2 linked regions of the Lepisosteus oculatus genome follow. The protein of the gene in region 1 purifies or fractionates together with the protein of each later gene. This does not show direct contact. Links are inferred from orthologs where the notes say so. Each region holds a gene or a part of one and is shown on either strand. Other genes may lie near its edges.

Region 1 (10,230 bases):
TATCTAATTCATGCTTTTGTGTTGTGATTAAGCGGGCTGTGTATAAACATCCTAAAGCATGGCAGTGATTTTTTCAAGAAAGGAATTAATGGAACCTGCTGTGATCAAGCCAGTGTTCACAGATCTGAGGGCAAAATCACAACATTTTCAGCCTAATTGGAACTACTTATATCCTTCAAGACATGGGGAAGTAGGTACAGTACATACGTACAATACTTAACATCAGTGACACCTTGAGCAGCACTGTCTTTCATTCAGATCAGCTCTTATACTAAATTACAAATTCTGCATCATCAGAATCCGGCTTTTGATGAGATCCAGAAAGATATTAGATGCAACTATTTAATAAACCTCCCTGACCACGCACTACACATATGTACAGTAGATACAAATGGGAAAACGGAGACCAGCCCCAGAGAACCTTGGAATGAGACACCTACTTATTACCAAACAGTTAAGACATAACTCCAGAGTTAAACAGCTAATTTCAAGAAGAGGGAAGTTATTTTAGGATTAAATTTCACTTCTGTAGAAGATATCATCAATTATTCAACATTTAAAAAAGCTAATTCAAAAGCAGATACAAGGTACCATAACAGAACCAGAACCAGGTTGTATAAAACACAATAAAAAAACATACATCTTAAGTCTTAAACATGGATTGTTTCTTGTTAACTAGGGAAGTAACATCAGTGTGTTCAGCTGCTTTGTACAACACCTCTAAATTCACAGAGCACTTGAGGAGAAAGTTAAGCAAGCATTTAACTTAAGGTGCTCAATGCAACTAGCCTTAATCATTTCAGGGCTGGGTTTGGGAGTAGGGAAGGGTTGGTAAGTTTGCTCAGTACCTCAAGTATATACATTGATGTTTCTGAAACTTACTAGGCTATGAAACAATTAGGTTATCTAGAGCCTTCCTTATCAATAGAGCCATTTTAACGCCACATTTTACCACACATGCATGACATGCATGGACTTGTCCTCAACACCTTGCGCTGCAGCTGCAGAGCAATTAATTCTAAAAGGATTGCATTTCCTAAAACGAAATTCAGTATAGGTAACGATAATCACATTTATGTTCCTATGCGCTTTACAACAGAAACATCTAAGAAAATATTTAGCTACATGTGTCTGAATAGGAGCTCATTTTATCCTTGTGTCATGCTATGCTTCTGAAATTTGTTTCCTGACTGTTGTCCACTGTTTCCACGACTTGAACCAAAGAAAAAATGAAGCCAGTGAAAGTAAGAGAGAACCTAAAATAACAAAGAGATTATTAGGCCTACTGCTCAGCATTTCACAGTTGAATTTTTACACACCTTTTCAAATAAAATCATTAGAGAAAATGCATTAACTCTCCATCACCTCCAGATACTAAAACATGGGCTCACACAAATTCAGCTGTGTGCGAATGTCTTAAAACCAAGCATTTAAACTCTCTGAGGCTGGTGCATTTTCAATGATAACAAACAAATTGCCAATTGCAAGCACCTTTTATTAACTGATAGCTTTTGAAGAGCTTTTACAGGCCATAAAACATTTAAAACCACCAAACAGTAGGCCACAACTTTTTGACAACATATGTAACATTTACATATTCTTAGGTGAGATTAACATACTCTGAGAATTCAAACACAGTACTCACATTTGGGCTATATAACACCCCTTCAGATCACGATCATCTTATATGGATTGACTGTGGTTTCTTTTCACCTACACCTGACCTCTGAGGCAGAACAGACACACACAAGAGTACAACTTATTGGCGAAATTGTCCACTGAGGCTAACAATATTGAGATGAGTAGCACAGAAAGAGACAAAGCATGGAGCCACCTGTGCATCTGTAGTTATGGGTAGTGTTGATAACACTGCACAGCCTTTCACAACTAAAGAAGACAAAGCCCAGCCATGAACTTGAAGCTAAAGAACGGAGGCATCCAGCCACTGAAATAGAGTTCACACGGCACGATTTGTTGCAGTAGCAGAGTATTTTGCAAAGGGAAGGCAAAGCTATTTGCACTTTTACATTCCACTTGAAACAAGTCAATACAACAATATCTGTACAACAATACACAACAGACCAAACCTAAAAAAGCATTTCAAACGATCATAACATCGAAGATAAAACCTCAATACATTTATAACAACCCCCTACGTTTGAGAAACCAGATCAAATCACCAGCCAGCACAAAACCCACAATGTGACCAAATAGTTTCTGAACAGCAATAAGCCACTTCAGACAAATTCAATTTTCTGTGGTATTGTAGTCTAAAATTACAGAGACAACTATTCCAGATAAAGTATGAAAATAATATTATCTTCTCTTGCACTCTGCTAAGAACGTCTGGAAAAGCAGGGAAATTACATTTCAAAATTGTATTATTCTATTTTTATTTTGTTTTTACACATTGCGATCAACGTTTACTGTGAACAACCTCCTAAATCACTGATGTTCTCCGATTAAATACCAAATGTATCATCAACGTTTTGTACTTGCCTAAAAACTCAAAACAACATACTTATTCTTTGAAGTGGTCAGTTACCCAGACATCACCTTATTATTAAACATAATCGTAAATGATGTGTTTATGAATCTCTCGCATGAATCAAGCGACACTGTCTCTTTAAATTCTCCACTAATTACTAGATTTCACTGTATCTTCAACTTCACAAGGTTAACAGCATCATGACTGTGAATCCAAGCACAAATATAATATTCATTTGCACTCTACTTTAACAGAAAAAAAATATAAAGATCGTGTGTGGCACTCTAATGTAGAAATACGATTTGTTCTTAAAACAAGAAGTTAATAAAAAAGCACATTTCGAAAAAGGGAATTTATTCTAGTTTGTGTTTTCCGTAAACTTCATTAAAGTTACATTTGAAGTGAGACAAATAGTAAACACGGTATAACTTTCATTTGAATTTCTTGAAGTGATTGCTGTTGGCGTTGCACATAATGATGTTTCTTAAAATATGTTAGCCTATATAATGCACAACAACGAGAATAACCTGATTAAAACGTTTTTCCACAAACTCTCCAATTGCAAAGCAATGTGAATTTTTCAGTTTCCCACTGATAGCACATTACAAGCCTGACGGTCACGTTCAGGGCTTCGATAATTCATTTTCCGAACTACCAGGCAACACAAAAGTAAAATACTTTAACACAACAATGGGATAAAAACAAGCGTTTCTTTCAGAACTCCCTTCATTAAATTGGGAACTGAAGATTTTTTTTTCATTCTATTGAACACATTAAGATTCTGGAATACAATGTCTCCGCCAGTGTTTCACGACGCCTCAGCTTTTGTGGGCTTTGTTCTGCCGTAGGGTATTATAAAGATGAAAACGAAACAACGTAACTAATTTCGTTACCCCCCCACCGAACCAACGGCCCATCTCTGACCGATCCAAACTCGCAGCGCGTAACAAAACACCGACGTTTTGCATTAATACTGAAACCTATTCGGCTAACATTTCGCAGGCTAACAGGGCGAACTGTTTAGATCGCAGCTTTCACAAAGGCAAAGCACCAAGTCAAACGAAACAAGACGTTGTAATGCAGCCACTGGTAAAACTTACCCAAGTTTGAAAACTTCGGCTCCGCCATAACTAGAAGAAAAAGTGGAGACTCGGTGACATCATCATCATAGCTGCACATTCACAGCAGAAAAGAGCTAGTGTAGCCAACTGTTTTGATCAGTCCTCCAGATTAAACTGATCGTGTGGGAGGTCACTGGAAGAAAAAAAAAAGTGCCACGGTGTTTTTTTTTCCCCCCTTTTTTTTTCTTCGTCTTTTAGTTGAATTTTACGATTATAATGCGTTTCGCTCGGTTTTCTTCGTAGCCTCGCCTTTGATCCATTACACTGCTTTCTTTATAGATTTAAATAAATGCAACCACATACACACCTTCTGGGTGTCACATGGGAACGTGAGCTAAAAAAAGCCAAAACAATTTAACTGCTATGGGACTTTCTGATCACCAGATAATCACAATGGGCACTGCCCAAGTGCCTTTCCCAGATACATTTCAGGAGGCTGTGTGCATCGATCTGTATTTTTGAGTAGAGACGCCGCTATTTGCACATTCCGTGACGCTTTTGAGAAGGTTAAGGTTTTTGTGTTAGTCCAGTGCGCCTGCTTGACGCCAGTAACTGAAATTGGATCCCTGGGTCTTGACTAGCAAGAATTACAGCCATGTACCTCACGTTACAAGGTTTGGCACTGTACGCTTTGAGCGTCCTATTAATCTTACATTAGAGCTCAGTTTGCGGTACTAACCGCTGGGGTAAAATACAGCTAGCTGAAAAGGTTTTGCAGTACTGAAAATACTCACACAGAGCTGCAGCACATTCCCCAGAATAACTACAGTTACACATTGAGGGAGTTCTCTCACTGCTAACCTTTTGTTTGAAGAAGCAAAAACATCGCCGGGTATATTATTTGACTTCATTTTCATGTCTAATTATGGATTCTGATGTGCTGATCATACATCAGAGTACCCTGGGTTTTTTTTAGAAAGTTCTTTCCAAAAGTATTCAAAATTTCAAATTCAAATACCTGCACAAGTATTCTTCTACAATTCTTAATGAGTTATTGTTGCTATTTTTTATTTGCAATGAAAGCAAGAAAACGAATTTTTGTGTATGCCATCAGTCTTCACTTCTTTCAGTACTGTCTGTTGTGCATGAAACTATCATCTCTTCCATAAAACCAGTTATTATGGGATTTTTTGCAAGCAGTATGATTATATAAGTAGAATGGAAAATATTTTGATTTGGTATGGCACTTACTCTATTAAAACTAAAAAGCAGGTTTACATTTTTCTGTTAACTGCCATGAAATCACAGTTAAAAGTTTTCATGTACAAATCGATGAAACACTAAGCTACAGCAGGCTCGAAGTTTTGGGCACCTCCCCTATGCTGTAAATTTCCTCTGTTGAAGTTGCTCATTAAATCAAAAGAGATAGGAAAAGTATCCAAACAAAACTTTGTTTTTTATTTCAGGTTTTCTTTCTTACCAGCTCACATCACGTGAACATTTATCATTGATTTGCCCAGAAATAAACAATGGTTGTCTTTTTTCTACTAGCTTCTTGGCTTTACATTCAGTGAAACTCTGTGATGAGGTGATATAATTACAGCTTTGTTTTTAAAGCAACTGTCAATCCACGGATGTTTGAACAATGAAAACAGAATTTTGAAATGGCATTTTTCAAGTATTCATTTTCCCAACAGCGCCAGTGACATTATTAACAATGAGGTTTTGGGATATTTTTCAACTAGCTAATGTTACTGCTGTATGTGAGCGGATTCACTAGGAAATATTGAATAAAGAGTGGAGATACATTTGTACCTCCAAGAGCATTTGTGAGAGAATGTTTTGGAAAAAATAAAATCTCATGAAATTCTGAAAGGCCAACCATTCCAGTTCCTGTTGACTGCAGATACTGTATGTTTGATACGAGACTCACTCTTGACAAGGTGGAGATCAAACAGAGGTTTGGAAAACAACACTTGTGTAGTTTACCTGCTTTTACCCAGCACTTATTTACATGATATGGGCATGTCATCTTAGCTTCTTTGTCATTCCAGAGAACTAAAATTCAACCAAAAGTGTCTCTGTAAAAGTCCGTCTGTAATTCTGATGTGATATGCTGGACAAATAGCATATACTGGAAATTTTTAATTGGAAAAGTTCTTGTCAGCTTTCTGTCTTGGCCAAACAATTATTCTCTTGGTAATCTCAGCCTACGTAACAAAGTGCACATTTCAGCTTTGCCCAGTACAGATTCTGATATGTGGTAATAACTGATCTTAAAAATAAAAGAATGCAGCTAGGTAAAATCCAGTAATCTTATTAACGTAAGATGCACAGGTTATCTTAGCTTGTGTATGAACTAAGTGGAACTGGTTAACTGCACAAAAACTTCATCTTCAAAATTCTATACCTCTTTATAAGGTGTGTAAGATTGAGTAATCATAACTGAATCTTCCCCGAAGTGCTGTATGAACTGTACATTGTCCAGAGCGAATCACTGAAAAATCACTGAAATTTGACCTAAATGTTAATGCTGGCATGCTGCTCATATGTTATGTCTTTACAACTAACAGTTGAGCTACTTTCGTACAAATCCCCAAATCTGTAAATGCTTAAAAAGATCAACCTCGGCACAGCACACAAATAATTTCCTTACAACTCAACTCTGATCCATTTCTAAGGCTATTTTCAATATTTTTACATTCCGTCTAATTAAAAAGGCTACAAGCAAACCCTTTCTCTTACAGACGGTAATTGCCAATCATATTTCCTGACATGCTTTATGAAAGGGGGATTAACCCTACCCCGTCTTGCTTTGCTAGAAGACAGAAACTGGGTCATATAATGTCATCAGCAAACCACAATAAAGCTAAAGAGATGAAAACTGAAGTTTCTGCTACAAACAGGCCTGCAACCACAACACAGTAAAGTGAATAGAAGAAACCTCACAACTTGAAGCCTAAATGCCTTTGCGTCACAATTCATTCTCCAGTACTCCAATAGCAAAACTGGACTCAAAAGTGGGATAAAAAGTATTCCTCTGCTTTGTAGTTTGTGGGGACACTGAGCTGTATTTATTTTTCATCAAAAGAAAATCAGTAAGTTTCTCCGGCTTTGTTTTCACGTTACTTCTGACTTTAATGGGTTTGATAGAAATCATTTTTTGCAGTTGGGAAAATTCATGAGAGAATTTCAGACTTAATCTCCCCATGGCTGCCTTCCCATTCGTTAAAGGGTAAAATGCAGTAGCACGTTATCAGATATGCAATAGGCTGTTACTGTATGTGCGACGCATGCCTTAGAGGTTTCAAGGATGTTTGCTGACAGAAAAGGTTTGCTTTGGTTAACCTTTATGTTTAAATTCACTGACCAAACCCTTAACAAATGTATATTAAAAATTCTGTGTTCCCTCTAATCATCTATATTTAGTTTCTGCTGACGAGGGCACGTGCAGACGTTAGGAGGCTGTTTCCTCTCTTATTTCAGAGCTATGAACCGCACCTTAGGCTAACCCTCTGAATTTCCTTCTCGTGTTTTTTAGCCATTGCAAAGCTTTGCAAGTTTCACTACATTTCAGATTTTTCTGATCTGAACCAAAAGCACCCATCAAAAGCAACATTAAGCCATTTTGATCCAGGTAATCCAAGTAGGCTGTAACTTATTTCAGAACTGTCTAGCACATATGATTCTCTGTGAACTTGTACAATGTGAATGGATTATTTCTTGGTCATTTATTAAATGACACAGCTCTAAGCACCACAATGAGATGAATAGAAAGCAATTGCATGGCATCGATTTTGAATGGAGGTCATACATTTTGAATTTACGTGCTTTGTAAATGTCGTCTATTTTTAAGGCATGTAGTGCAATTACATGAAACAAACCTTCTTTTTTTGTAAAAAGCAATACATTATGGAGGGTTTTTAGTAAAACGAATTAACTCAGCCCTGCTCCCATCAGTTTTGTGTGACCTGTCAGCTATTGATCAATGGAGTAAAGAATCTAACATTTGCCTTTGGTCTAATATGAGGAAATAAAACAAGACCAGAATAGCTGTATTGAAAACTCAATATTTTAAAAGAGTAGAGGAATAAACCCATAGAAAGTAAAGAGTGCCACTCTCTGGCTGAAATAATAAAGTGCAAGTTCAAAATCTAAAAAGACTTCCCTGCAGATGGTAACTACATTTAGTGCTGATGCCTGCTGATAGGCCTAGAAATGCATTCTAGGTTCATCTCACCTGTACACCAAGACATTTCATGCCTTATATAACTAAGAACTAAAGGACACTTAAGGGTTTATAAAGCTATGGGGGTTGGGTAAGTGTTTTGAATATGGTGACCTACAGTATGTTCCTTACATCACTGTTTGTGGTTTAAAAATTACCTTTAAATGAACAAAAATGTATATGAAATATGTTAAGGTAAAGCAATATTGTAAGAATTATGAGTAAAAAGGCAAACTATAAATATTGTCCAAGTTACAAATGTGAGCTGTGAAAAAGACTATTGTACAAGTGTTAAATTTTTTAATTCTTGTATTTACACATCTTGCCTTTTTTCTCTGGTGTGTAATCTTACCTGTACTTAGTACATAAGATATTGTTGATTAGTTGACTCATTAAGGTATGTGCAGTAAAACAAATTAAGATTACACGTAACAAAAGGTTTTAAATTAAAGCTAAAAAATGTGTCACTTACTTTATTCCTTTCCAAACTCTCTGTTATTTCACTGGAGATTATATCCAGAGGAATATGAATATAGAATATAAGTTAACATTTATTATATTATTCTTCAGTCTTCGGTCTTTATTCTTAATATTCTTAACAATTTAATCAAAGGTAGAATTTTGCCAACACGAGCTATGATTTAGCATCATAGTTAAATGTTATTAGGGAGTTTGGAAAAGACTATTTTTAAGCAGACTAAATAGCATAATCTAATCTAATTAATATATCATGATATTAGATTCAAATTCTACACTTTCATACTGTATCTCTGACTCCACATGGGATGTACTGCAGGTCTATATTTTGAATGATAATTCATATATAAAAGAGTGCCCACTCTTTCTCTCTCTTAATCTAATTATTCTTAGTCTCCAAATGGTTTTGTAGTCATTTGTTGTGCAGTATATTAAAACAGTATATCCATTGTGAAATACAGTATTTTATCATTAAAAACAGAAGTGACCTTTCTATTTTACCCAAAACACAATTTCTATATATTCATATTTATTATCAAATTACACATTCCTGGAAAAATGGTCAAAATTAAAACAAAATAATTATTGTTGCACAAAGTGTTCTTTTTCTTAAGAAGTTAGTGTGATCTTGTTATATAATCATACAGCAACATTCCTTTCTAAATATAATCAATATACCATCTTTTGCTATTTTTTTTGGGTTTGTTTTCAAATCAGTGTACATATGGTAATAATTCAGTTGACACAGGTGCTGTTTTCTGGACATTGAGACTACCATTAAAGCTTTTTCTTGACTTTAACAAAACTAGCTATTTTTAGAAAAGAGACAAAATGAATTGGAAATGCATGTCATCAAAAACCTTGCAGAAGTACAACATAAAAGTATCTTCTGCAGAGACATGCAACTTCATTGCAGTTTCATTCTAAGGTAATAAATCGTCATCTTAATTTCATAATTGTGGTCTGTTTGTACACCACTATTAAAATCCTCTGATGTTAAAGCATGCATCTTAATAACTAAAGCCGCTCCAGGACTGGAGGAAGAACTCACCTGGAGTTGCTGGGACAGGTGTCATTGTTGAACAAGAGCTTTTCCCATCGCAGGCTACCGAGTGCAGGAGAACCTAACATTGTTAACCTGCGGAAGGTGCACTGATTCCCACCCCCAAACTACTTGCACTGCTTCCATTACAAAGCAGAGTCTGAGGGGCAAGCAGCCCGCTTCTCAAAAGGTTACCTTGCTCAAGACTGCGCAGGGGCATGAAGGTGTGAGATTCCTACTGCTCAGTTTCGTTCTGTTGTCGTCTTTTTTGGATTTTTAGAATGATGTTTTTAAACCAAACATAGGCTTTAGGAAGGGCAGCAAATTGCACGTCATCCTCTGAATTCTTAGGAGGCAAACAATGAGAACAGCTCACATGGTCCTCGCTGGAAGATGAGGAGAGGATGTCTGTTAAAGAGCCTAGGAGATCATATTTAAGGTATTCCCCTAAGCTTGCATCATTTTATAACCACAACTGCTTAAGGAAGTAGTAGCAATTCTCTCACCCTCAGAAAATGGATTAAAAACATGATGTCTAATTCAACAGTGTATCATCACCTAATCTAATAATTGATTTATAAACTGATTGAATTGTTCATGAGGAATGAGAATGAGAAATTCATGATTAGGACGTAATTGTTCAATTATAAAGAGATGAAAGAGCCCTTGGTCTTATTGTTTGTGATCCATAAAAAACAGTTGAGTTTACAATGCAGAATCTTTTATTAGTCTTACAGTGTGTGCTGTTCCAGCCACATTGCCATCTCTGTCAATTTAATTTGTTATCACCTTTAGTGGGTGCACGATTGCTCCCGGTACTCACACTTGATGTTAATTATGAAATGTATTATCAATGAATAGAAGAATTAAGCATAATCCAACATAAAAGTGAATAAGCCTCCTAAAACAAAACAAAGCTAAACAGGAAAATCCG
Region 2 (10,729 bases), on another chromosome or scaffold:
CTGCTTTTACGTTTTACAAAGGAGTAAGCAGGCTTGAATTCAATTGTGTCTCTGGTACAAACATAACACACCTGAGATTTACTCTTATTTACGTGCCTAAACAGTAGTGTGGATTTAAAAGTAATGCCCACACATCATGGATTTAAAAGCAATGCACTGTGAGGACCCACACACGACATGTTTTTGGTATCCAGCACAAGATGGCCTGCTTCAACAACAAACGTCCCACCCCTGGTTCTCTGGTTCAGTCTGCAGCACCTGTTCTTCAAACCCACTACAGCCATCATCGCATACTTACTTTCCTCTCTGTAGAAGGTTTTGTCTGAGGAGGTCTTCACTTTATCTTTGGCCATGACATCCTCCAGCTTCTTCTCATACAAACCTCTGGTGGAATCTGTAGAAAGACAAGACATTTACCCAGCAGAAGCACCAAGCAGAAGCACTCTGAGAAAACACTGAACAGGTCAGCAAGTCGTTACTTGAGGTCTGGGAATTCTGGAAAGTCCTCAAAGCAATGCTGGGGGCGGTCTCCAAAAAACAGGGTACCCTAAATTACTGCCTTTCACATTTTACTAATCATTTCTCAGAATCGGGTGATCGAAACCATAAGTGGAAAAAATATGTCCAAAAACATTTTAATTTAAATAACAGATATCTATCATACTAAAAATTTGCCGTTATTTCAAGGTACCAGACACAATGACACGGCTTTGAAACTTCTTACAGTGACTGTAAGTGTCTGGACCAACTCAGATTTCCACAACCTTTCAAAGGTTTTCTGGTAATACGGAAACAAAATAAATTCTTAAATAGTGCACATCTGAAAATGATATTTAGAGAGCTCTGTGTGAACTGCTTTACTGGGAAACTGCAATATACACTTATCAGCAATAATAGTATAATATGGTAACGGTAATAATAGCTACATACTACCAATATGTACCATTTTGAATTTGTTCTACAATTTTCAAGGTTTTTGGCTTAATTGTAGTGGTGCTGTATGGTCTTTTTTCAGTGGTTGTGCAGTTAAGAGGTAAATTATTCTAGTTACAGTACGTATGCGGCATACTCTGTCATTACAATCTGTCCTCTTCATTCAAAATACATCTTCCTGCAGATCTTTCATAAGATTGGAAATAAGTTGGATGTGAGTTCTGGAGATCATGATATCAACAGTTAAGTGCCGTGGTAAAACCAAAATTTAATTCGGGGCCACTGGGTGATAAAGGAGCTTTGCTGGAAGTGAGAATGGTTTTGTGTGGAGTCTATACAAAAACCTATGCCCCAAGGCAAAGATTTTGTCACACAACTTAGCTGAATTTAAATAACTTAATATATCTAAATGACAGAAATCGTCTGCTGGTTTGTGAGATCTAGGGAAACATACCCACTATGGGTCCATGTTTCAGTCCATACTGGTCCAGAAGATCAATGATTTCTTGATCGGACTTGCTGCTGAGTTTGGTCATGTCTGTCAGGAAGCAATGCTCTCAGATGCCTGGAAAAAAGAAAAAAGAGATATTATACACTGAAGGGGTAGGTGACCAGATTTGTGTTTCTAGGACACTGGGACGCTAGTCACCATTTTGCAACACTGACAACAGCAGAATATGCAGATGCTGAGATGTTTAAAACTTGGACAGTCATATTTTAAGCTCTGATTTTCTTTAGCTGGGTTTTTACCCATTGCTTACTTTGAAAAAGCCACGTATCAAAATCATACCCCAGACATCTTTGTGTAGCATTTATGGGCACACCCAGTAACAGCTGCTGTTCCTCCAAGTGTATGAGCTGAATGTCAGTCACACTGGGGTCTCCTGTATGGCAGAGCACAGTGGGCACACAAGACTGCCCAGGGATCAGATGCTCTTTACTCCCGCCCAACTCTGTTGCTTTTTATTTCCAAGTCTGTTCTCCTCATGCTTCCCTCTCTTGCCTTCAAATTTTCAGTCTGCTCCACTTGTGCTCTCCTCCAACACAAATATAGCATATAATCTGGCTGGCCTTCTTTAAATTTACATGACTTTAGGCCAGAACTCTAGAGCCCTAGTCTTGGAGAGCCTCACACCAGCTCCTGTAGTCTTATAGGTCATCTGTTTTTAAAGGAGAACTGCAGTCCCAATTCCTCATACTGGTTTTAAAATCTCAGTAACATGAACAAATAGAAGGTATTGCAAAATTTTACAAATTCCGAGTTAAGCACAAAATGGTGAACTTTGTGAAAGTACTGTAAAGTCACCATTTCGTAGCAAACTCCTGGTCTTGCCACGGCCAAGAGAGAGAGTTTGTACAAACTGTGACGTGGTGCAGACCTTCATGCTTCCTATATATAATGCAACGTAGGACCAATTAATTACAGGTTGTGCCGCAGTCATTTCAGCGCAGAACTGTTCCAACGTGATCTGCACGCAGTTAACAAGTAGTATTCTTGCGCCAAAATAATCTGGAAATCGAGAGCAATATTTCTATTGGATTAAAAGAGATGCATTCAATAGTCTGCATCTTTACAATGTAATATGGCCACTTCACCTCACCAGAAGTTTTGTTGTCTCTTTCTAAATCGCAGAACTTAGCGCTGCACATACCTGGAAATTTCTATTTTTTTTCAATGTAAATAGGAAGTTTTACACATTGCTGTGTACATTTTACTTTCATCATGGTTTGAAATGCACTCATCAATGCTGAGTCTTTCCTGGAAATATAAAAATAGCATTGCAGTCCTCCAGGGCTGAACACTACATAAAGTCTAGGCATAAATGAACTCTACATAGTTTCACAAATTGACCGTTGAACTGACCACAGTGGAATTGTTTCATATCTTTAGAAATTGCTTTAATAGTAAACTACAGTACAACAATTGCTGGATTGGGGCTCTCAAGGACCTGGTTTGGAGAACCCTGACTTAGGCTATTGTATGGTACTGACAAGGCTCTGGTTAAGATGATTGATGATTTGCTTACAGGATAAACAAAAGAAAGAAAAAAGGAAATAAATTATGACTTGTTTTATGGAGAAAGCAAATGAAAAGATCCATATCTCCGCCTTGTAACCTCACCGTATTTAGCCTGTTAAAATGTATAGGTAACACGGATCAGTGTGGTCATGTTAGAAAATAATCAATAATGACTATTATTCTTGCTTAATGGGCCTTGACATTCAAGCCTCTGGAAAAATAAGATACACACAGATTTAAAGATAACATCACTGCAAAAAAGGATTCAACATCAGTTTTAATGTGTCATGATATACAGGACAAACAATGTCTGAATCAGTCAGTTTAAAATAATACTGCAACTTATCGGTTTAAAACGCATTCACAGTTTAACTAAATATTGTATATCTTATTATTATCTTACTAAGTTCACTCTTAAATAAACCAGGTAAGGCTGTGGTTGTTGCTTGTAATTTGGTACATTCTTCCGAGAGACCAAAGAGTCTGCTTTCAGTGAAAGAGTGTAACCTGCGATTATCCGAAAACGGAGCTTTTACAAATCACGGGTTGTTTCTGGAATGAACTACAATCCCAAAACCGAAGCTTTATAAATTCATGTCCACACGATATCGCCTGCTCTTCTCATAATTTCCATGTAAGGTATATGTGTCGGAAGATTATTTCCACAATCTAATCCCTATAGGCTATATTGTTGAATAATATTTTCATCAACAATCTCTTTCCAGTTTCACTTCAACTAAATGGTTGAGCTATGGTAATGTGAACTTCAGTTTTATCTTTCTCTAAGGTCCGAGGTTTATATAAACAATGTATTGTAACAAACTAAAATTAAACAATGAGCATTCCCCCCGTGAATGGATATATCATCATTACTAGTATATAGTACAATAACTAAAATGAGCCATGTTTGTACGATTTAAGCAGCAGTAGATAATTTCATGTGTTCATGTGATTCAAACAACAGTTCTTTTAGTGTGTTCCAGACGAAAAAGGAGACAAACGAGTTAAATCTTTAACTTTAAAGGTGTCAAAACTAAAAGTTAGTTTTAGGACAAAATGATATACCAACCTTTCGTGGTGATCGTTAAGAAAAAATGAATGGGGATTACAGATTACGAAATAAAACCTATACATATACAGTACAAAACAACACACACTGTATGAATAGTTGTTGAAATGTTGTAAAATAATAACAGAACAAGCAAAACAAAGTGCATTCAATTCACGCATCGTATGCACAAGGACAAAAAACTTTAGAATGAGACCACTTCTTTTACACAAGCGACTGCCCATAAAATCAAAACGACTTCGTTTGAGGACATTCATGGCTAGAATACAGGGCATCACTTCGCAAAGACGCCATGTGCCTCAATAATACGCTAACTCCAAAACTTAACTTGTGATTTACCAAGTAGAAATATATTCAGAAATATACGTCAGCTCATAAGTGTTGCAAATCCAGCTAACTACGTTACAGCGACAGGGCGTTGTTCATATTTAAAAAAATAAAATGGGAGGTCCGCGAAGCAAACGGCAATTGATTTCTATTAAACTAATGCAGGGACACGTTTCTCGCAGCACACACCTCTCTCTGCTCCCCAGAGAAACAAGGCTAAAGGATCTTATTTGAAAAAAAGGCATCTTACCTTCAGGACAAAGAGCAATAAGCAAATAACTACTCTTTCTGTAACAGCGAATTCCCGAGTAATGTCACCTCTCCTTTTTGAAAAACGAAAGCTCTGTATCGGAAGCTGCTCTTTCTCCGTAGCTCCAATGGTGAACGTCTCTCGACTGCATGTGATTGCGGCCCACAGTTTGCTGCGTCAACGAGGAGCGTCTCACTGGCGCCCTCGCCTGTTACAATAGAGTGAAGTGCAATTCGTTGTTACCCTAATAAGGAAAAACGAAAATTTCCAGAGCTTTTTTTTTTCTCCTCCAGCTGTGAATTGGGTGAAGAAACTAGGGCGTTGGTTGTAAAACCGATGTACTGTATTCCCGCTTTTTTTGGTATTTCAAATCTGGTGCAATCCACTGCTGAGCTACTTCAATACGCCCTCTGTCTGGAACTCCAACTCACTGCATAGGTAAGAAAAAAATAATATACCCAGTGTGTTTATCATTAGATTTAGCTTGAACGAAAAAAATACACCTACTGTACGAACACTACCAAGGTATCGGCTTCCGCAACATAGCTGTTCAGCATGTTTCATACGCACACAACCGTTTGGGTAAAAGTGTGACTACTGTTCTTACTTTTAAAAGTACTGTACATCCCCATTGGAGTTTCACCTTGTTTTCTGGTTTGTGGTTTAGTGGCCCTTATGGATGTCAGTGATAAGCTCATAATGATATAAACATTGGTTAATTTACATGACTAAAAGTACAAATTCTGAGGATCCAAGGTGAAGGTCTCACAAAATACCTGAAACCCATTTTACTGTATGCCTTATTTGCTGTTCAAGCAAATAACATGATTGTGAAGTTTTACAACCCATAACACATTACTTGCATAAACTGAATTGTAAGAGCTTAATTCATATGCTTTAACAATTCAGTAGATTGATGGGAGATACTGTACCAAGCACCTATGTACAGGCTCACTACACCCACATAATCAACACTGACAGATCTCCTGAATTATTAGTATTCAAGTTATTTTCATACCCATCGGATTTGTACCAGTTGTGTATTTTTAGTCTTTACCCACATTAGGGTAACAGTAAAAACAGCTAATGCCTACAGACCACTACCAATCTGAGTTCAGTACCTCTGGGTGGTTGAATGTTCCTGTTGGGTGTCCCAAACATTCAGAAATACAACAAATGCAAAGAATGGGATCTCCAATACTTAAAGGGGGGAGTAATTAAAAGGAAAGAGAAATGTTCACACCCAGAGGGAAAAAAAACAGTTTTGGCATTCATTAAATATGGCCTTGTCATACTTCTTTCCATGTGAAGTTTCTGCATGGCTGGTTAAGGTCTCACATTCATTATCTTAACAGGGTGAGTATTGTAGCAGCAGGTAGTCCCAACAGCAAAAGCTGGTGTCAAAAGGAGCAGTCATGCACTGTGCCTCAACTACACTCACATTCCTAAACATATTCCCTAAAGAATTTATAAAATATTCCCAAAGATGTATAGGTAAGCACTGGCTGAGCACATATGTGAAGAAGGTTGAGGGCAATGTTCACCTGGAGATTACAGAACTGTGCTGTGCATATTCTAAGTATTTACATGTGCAAATATGAAGTAGATTAGATTGTGTGCAATTGTCTAAAATTTGGTGTACCATTTACATTAAAGCTACAGCTACCTTCACCTGTGTGTGAGACCAGAAGATGGTAGGTCCTTGAGGAATTGGGTTTGAGACCAGTGTTCAAATTCATATTAAGGTACCCATTATACCTGGTCCTAGAGAGCCCCAATCCATCAGATAGCATAGGTCACCTTTAAAATTTAAATTAGCCATATCTCAAGCTACAGAACAAACTCATTCTGATCAATTAAACAGGTGATTTTTAAAACTTCCAATTCCTTAATTAATATCCAAGTACTTTACACCACTCAAGCACCCAAGTTCACTTAATAGTACAGATTACTTGCAAGATTCATCCATAGCTCTCAAATGTCAAATTTATAAAAACTGGTGGCCTAGTAAACAACTTGGATTGGTTCTCCAGTACCAAGGTTGAAGACCTTATGCAGTGATTAAGACTTGGCATTATCAAATCCACAGCAGTGAAGGCACAACGTTTAGAAGAAAGATCCAGACTTCAAAGATCCTTTAATTAACACCGATTAAGGATGCATGAAGAGGAAAATTTAACCCTTTTTTTAATTAAAAATGAGTACATGTGCATGTGAAGACTAAGCTAATGTAACCGACTTACTGCTAGTTACAATACCTGCCCCTCTTTGAGCAATACATTATACAATCCTATGATGTGTAAGCTACAACCTGCAAATAAAGTAGAAAGCCTGTTTATGTAACCCATATTTAAAGCTTTAAATGGCAAACCGATTCCCAGGGAAAATAAGTGTTTAAGGTATTAACAAAAATTCCAGGATCATCTTTATCCCTGTGTGCAGAATAACTAAATGGTGTCATATTAGCAATCTGAACATAGAACCATCTACATTAAGGATCTACAGTATATTGCAATAGAGGGCAGCACTGAATTCATACCACCCCCATAAGTATCCATCAGAACTCTACAAACCAAAATTTGAAATGCAGCCAAAACTGGGCTCTTATAGCCCTAATTAAAAAAAACAGACTTGGACACAAGCTTGTATTAAAGCATAATTTTATTAAAGAACAACTGATCATTTGGAAGGCTAAAAACGGCTGATGTGCAAGTTAAGAAATGAGAAAGATAATCAGGATAACTCGAAAGCAAAAGCTTTGTCCCCCCTTTTGCACAGTTAAGACCATCATAGAAGCCGACAGACACTCAAGTGTATAAATAACCTTAAATCTGAAGTTTTCAATGGAAGAAATTGAAGATCATTCCTTGTAGGCAGTGGTAACTGTTGGTACACCATTGTCGCAACATTCTGAAAATTAGCTTCTGTGCTTTTTAAAGTTTGACATGGGTTTTAAAATGTAGAACATTAGAGCACTGTTAAAATTGAGATCCTTTGCAGGAGCTCAGAACTGTGGATGGAAGCAACCATGGAAAACAGTAAAGGAATTTGGGAAAGACTTTTCAGCTGGGCTTATTTCTCAAATACCAAAGTTACAGAATGACAAATCAATTTTGAATAAAAAAAATCTGATTGAACTGGCATTATAAACAAGATTCAATCTGAAAAGGCAGAGTATATTAAAATCCAGCTTCCTCATTGGATAGCCAGAAAAATCTGCACATTCAAATCTTTCAGAATACCATCTTGTTTAAGCTCCGCCACAAAATAAAAGAAACGAAAACCAATAAGCCATTTTCAAGTTTAATGGTAAACAGTAAAAATTTAAGACAACTTTGTGTATCAAAATACTGTAACAGTCTAACATTCTTAAAGGCTTATTTCCTCAAAAGTACATTTTCTTTCAAAAGACATTGAATATTCTGGACAAAAAGTACAAAAAGTGTAAGGGGAAAGTGACAGTGACCTTTTGTTGCATATCACAACCATGTTTGTTCACAAAAAGCATCAAACTGGAAAAGTGTCAAGTCTTCAACCACCATATAACCACCTAACTCCTAACATACTACTGTACATTACTCTCATTGACATCTTCTATTCTCTCAATTTTAATTTAGCAATATCTTTAAGAATTTAGACTATTCCCTTTAACATCTGCAGACGGTCTCTAAGGTAAAGAGTACTTTGACGACGATTCTGTTAACAGTTGTAATATTAGTTAAGTGTCCTAGAGGTTCAAAATCTGACTTGCCTTTTCCTCCAGTGGGAATCCAGTTCGATTCTGAACACTCAGGAAAAGGTCTATAAATGTAGGATGGACAGTCACTTCAGAACTAGAATAGTGCCTACAACAGGGTTAGCTATTCTATTAAGACAAATTAGCAGCTATACTACCATCCTGGGCATAAATCCAAAAACAGGTAACCATCAAAAAAAAAAATCCATAGCACTAAGCATAAAGAACAAACTTCTGGTTTTGTTTAGGCTTTGCTGCAACAAGAATAGAAGGTCATGATTTCGATTTAGAGTGAAGGTGCTTGCTTTTCAAAAATAATGGGAGGAGGAGAGGTTAAGGGCACAGTGTGCATTATCCTCTGTAAGCAGGGAGGGAAAGGGGGCAGGAGGAGACTTTAGGGCACAGAGATGTGGAAAGGGCTGCCAGGAATATGCTCATCACCCCATTTCACAACCAGAATGTAGTCGCCTTTCTCTTTCAACTGGTAGCTCACGTTGTACAGGCGGTTACCCAGGTGCTTGACCAGAATCTCCTCACAAGGCACCTTGGGACCGTCCACTCCCACCAGCAGCATGTTCCTGCCTGTTGAACCATAAAGATATTAATAGTGCAACATTTTACAAATCATGAGTATCGTTCTCAGACAAGTGTGGCTCATACTGTTTGCCCTGAAAATGAGTGTCTCTATTCTGTGGAAAAGTACTGTCCTGCAAGCAGCAGTTAGCTCACCACCCCAGACTTCTGTGTGGAAAAAACAGTTCTGTCCCATGTTGGCTAGGTATTCTATTTTAAAAAAAGATTTAAGGGGTCAGTATTGAAATCATGGAAGGTCTTTTCAGAATTGAAGACTTTTTACATTTCTTCAGATAAAGGGCAATTTGCGCAACATTACAGACCAATTTAACTTCTGAATTAAATAAGATAACACAAATCTCAAACTTTAAGGTTTTTGTGATTCTTGTGAGCTTGCAGAACAGACATCTCATTGCCAGCAACCACTGCTGCATGCTGTATTGTTGTGCATTTGATAAACTTTGATTTTATGGAAGTCAAATAATTTTAAAACAAAGCTAAACTTCAAAACCATTTTTGCCCCCAATTGGCATGCTATAGCATTTTGTAGAAGCACTTGATACATCTTAGCTATAAATCATTATCTTTAATTGTTACAGAAAGTTTTTGTACCACTTTCACAAGACATGAATTTTAAGAAATACACAGAGGCATACCTGCTTTGCTACAGTCCACACTGAAGCTGTTCTTCTGGCCCACAAAGCCTTTAGTAAGGCCTAGCCCCTTGGCAACAACATGGCTGGCATCCGAAGAGGCCCAGGCTGGCGCCCCCTGCTGCATGGTGGCTGAACTCCGAGAAATGGGATCAACGAGGACGGAAGACGTCTCATGGAGGCTGTGACTGCTCACTAACCGGGGGCCTACAGAAAAGAACTTGGCTGTAAAACTCAGGTTTGTCCAATAGCATTAAACATTTGTCTAAATGGGGTTTCTCACCAGGGTGCACAAGTTAAAAAAAAGTTAACATGCTTCAATTCTACCCCTAACAGTTTCGCCAGTTGACTTTTTCACTTTCACAATTAATTTGCGTCATGGATTTTGTAAATGCCTAGCTTCCAGTTTTCATTAAGAAACTGGCCAGTCACAGGAATAAGTGCTAAATCCAAAGTGATCACACCCCCACCTACTTCTGGTCCAGCTTTATGTAATGCCATCTTACCAGTGATCTTGGCTTTGTAGGGACTTCCTACAATGTGGTAGGGGCCACCATACTTGATGGAGATCAGGTAGTTCCCAGGGGCCATTGGTGTGTATATGACTTTGTAGCCTTCAGGACACTCCTGGCAGTCCATCTTGACCTTGGATGGCCCATCTATGGTGACAGCAAGGGCTCCAGGGCCAGCTGAACTTGTGTTCACAATGAATTCACATGGAGAGCCTGGAAAACCAGAAGAGTAAGTAAAGATCCAAAACACTTCCTGCAACTCAGCAGTAATTTGCTCATGCCTCACTGAGAATCATTAAATAATAAAATCAATTGTATTTATTGGGTAAGACTACGTAGTAGGCAATGAGATTTTCCACTGTTTAAATACAATCCTATGGTAAACAACGTAATAAACAGATATCTGGATTATGTACACTCTTCTGAATGAAAGTTGCACTGTAACCAAGCACTGCAAGGACACGGCCACCTAGCAAAGATGTTAATTTCCTTTGTGGTACAAAAAGCAGACAGAACCAACTAAGTATCTCTTGCAGTAAATGCCCAGCCATCTACATTGGGGAAACAGGAAGGAGACCGCTTCAGAGAACACGTCAGGGCTGTGAAGATTAAAGATCTCTCCAAGCCCATTGTTTCTCATTTCACCTCTGACGGCC

Evidence for each region.
Region 2: the proteins of raf1b (region 1) and emerin-like purify together in Homo sapiens (affinity purification with mass spectrometry; 3 studies listed by BioGRID and IntAct, with this or other methods). This does not show direct contact. The link is inferred for Lepisosteus oculatus from reciprocal best matches to the Homo sapiens genes RAF1 and EMD.

The regions. Positions count from the first base shown.
Region 1 is NC_090699.1:62,312,812-62,323,041, forward strand, and holds the start of raf1b (RAF proto-oncogene serine/threonine-protein kinase), read right to left. Parts: upstream 4,221-10,230; 5' UTR 3,917-4,220; exon of another isoform or gene 3,743-3,916; 5' UTR 3,589-3,742; intron 1-3,588. UniProt on the Homo sapiens protein: Serine/threonine-protein kinase that acts as a regulatory link between the membrane-associated Ras GTPases and the MAPK/ERK cascade, and this critical regulatory link functions as a switch determining cell fate decisions including proliferation, differentiation, apoptosis, survival and oncogenic transformation.
Region 2 is NC_090697.1:66,885,666-66,896,394, forward strand, and holds the start of emerin-like, read right to left. Parts: upstream 4,756-10,729; 5' UTR 4,600-4,755; intron 1,499-4,599; 5' UTR 1,470-1,498; coding exon 1,388-1,469; intron 395-1,387; coding exon 299-394; intron 1-298. Other genes in the region: flna (filamin-A), read right to left, coding at 8,730-8,917, 9,565-9,768, 10,068-10,286. UniProt on the Homo sapiens protein: Stabilizes and promotes the formation of a nuclear actin cortical network. Stimulates actin polymerization in vitro by binding and stabilizing the pointed end of growing filaments. Inhibits beta-catenin activity by preventing its accumulation in the nucleus.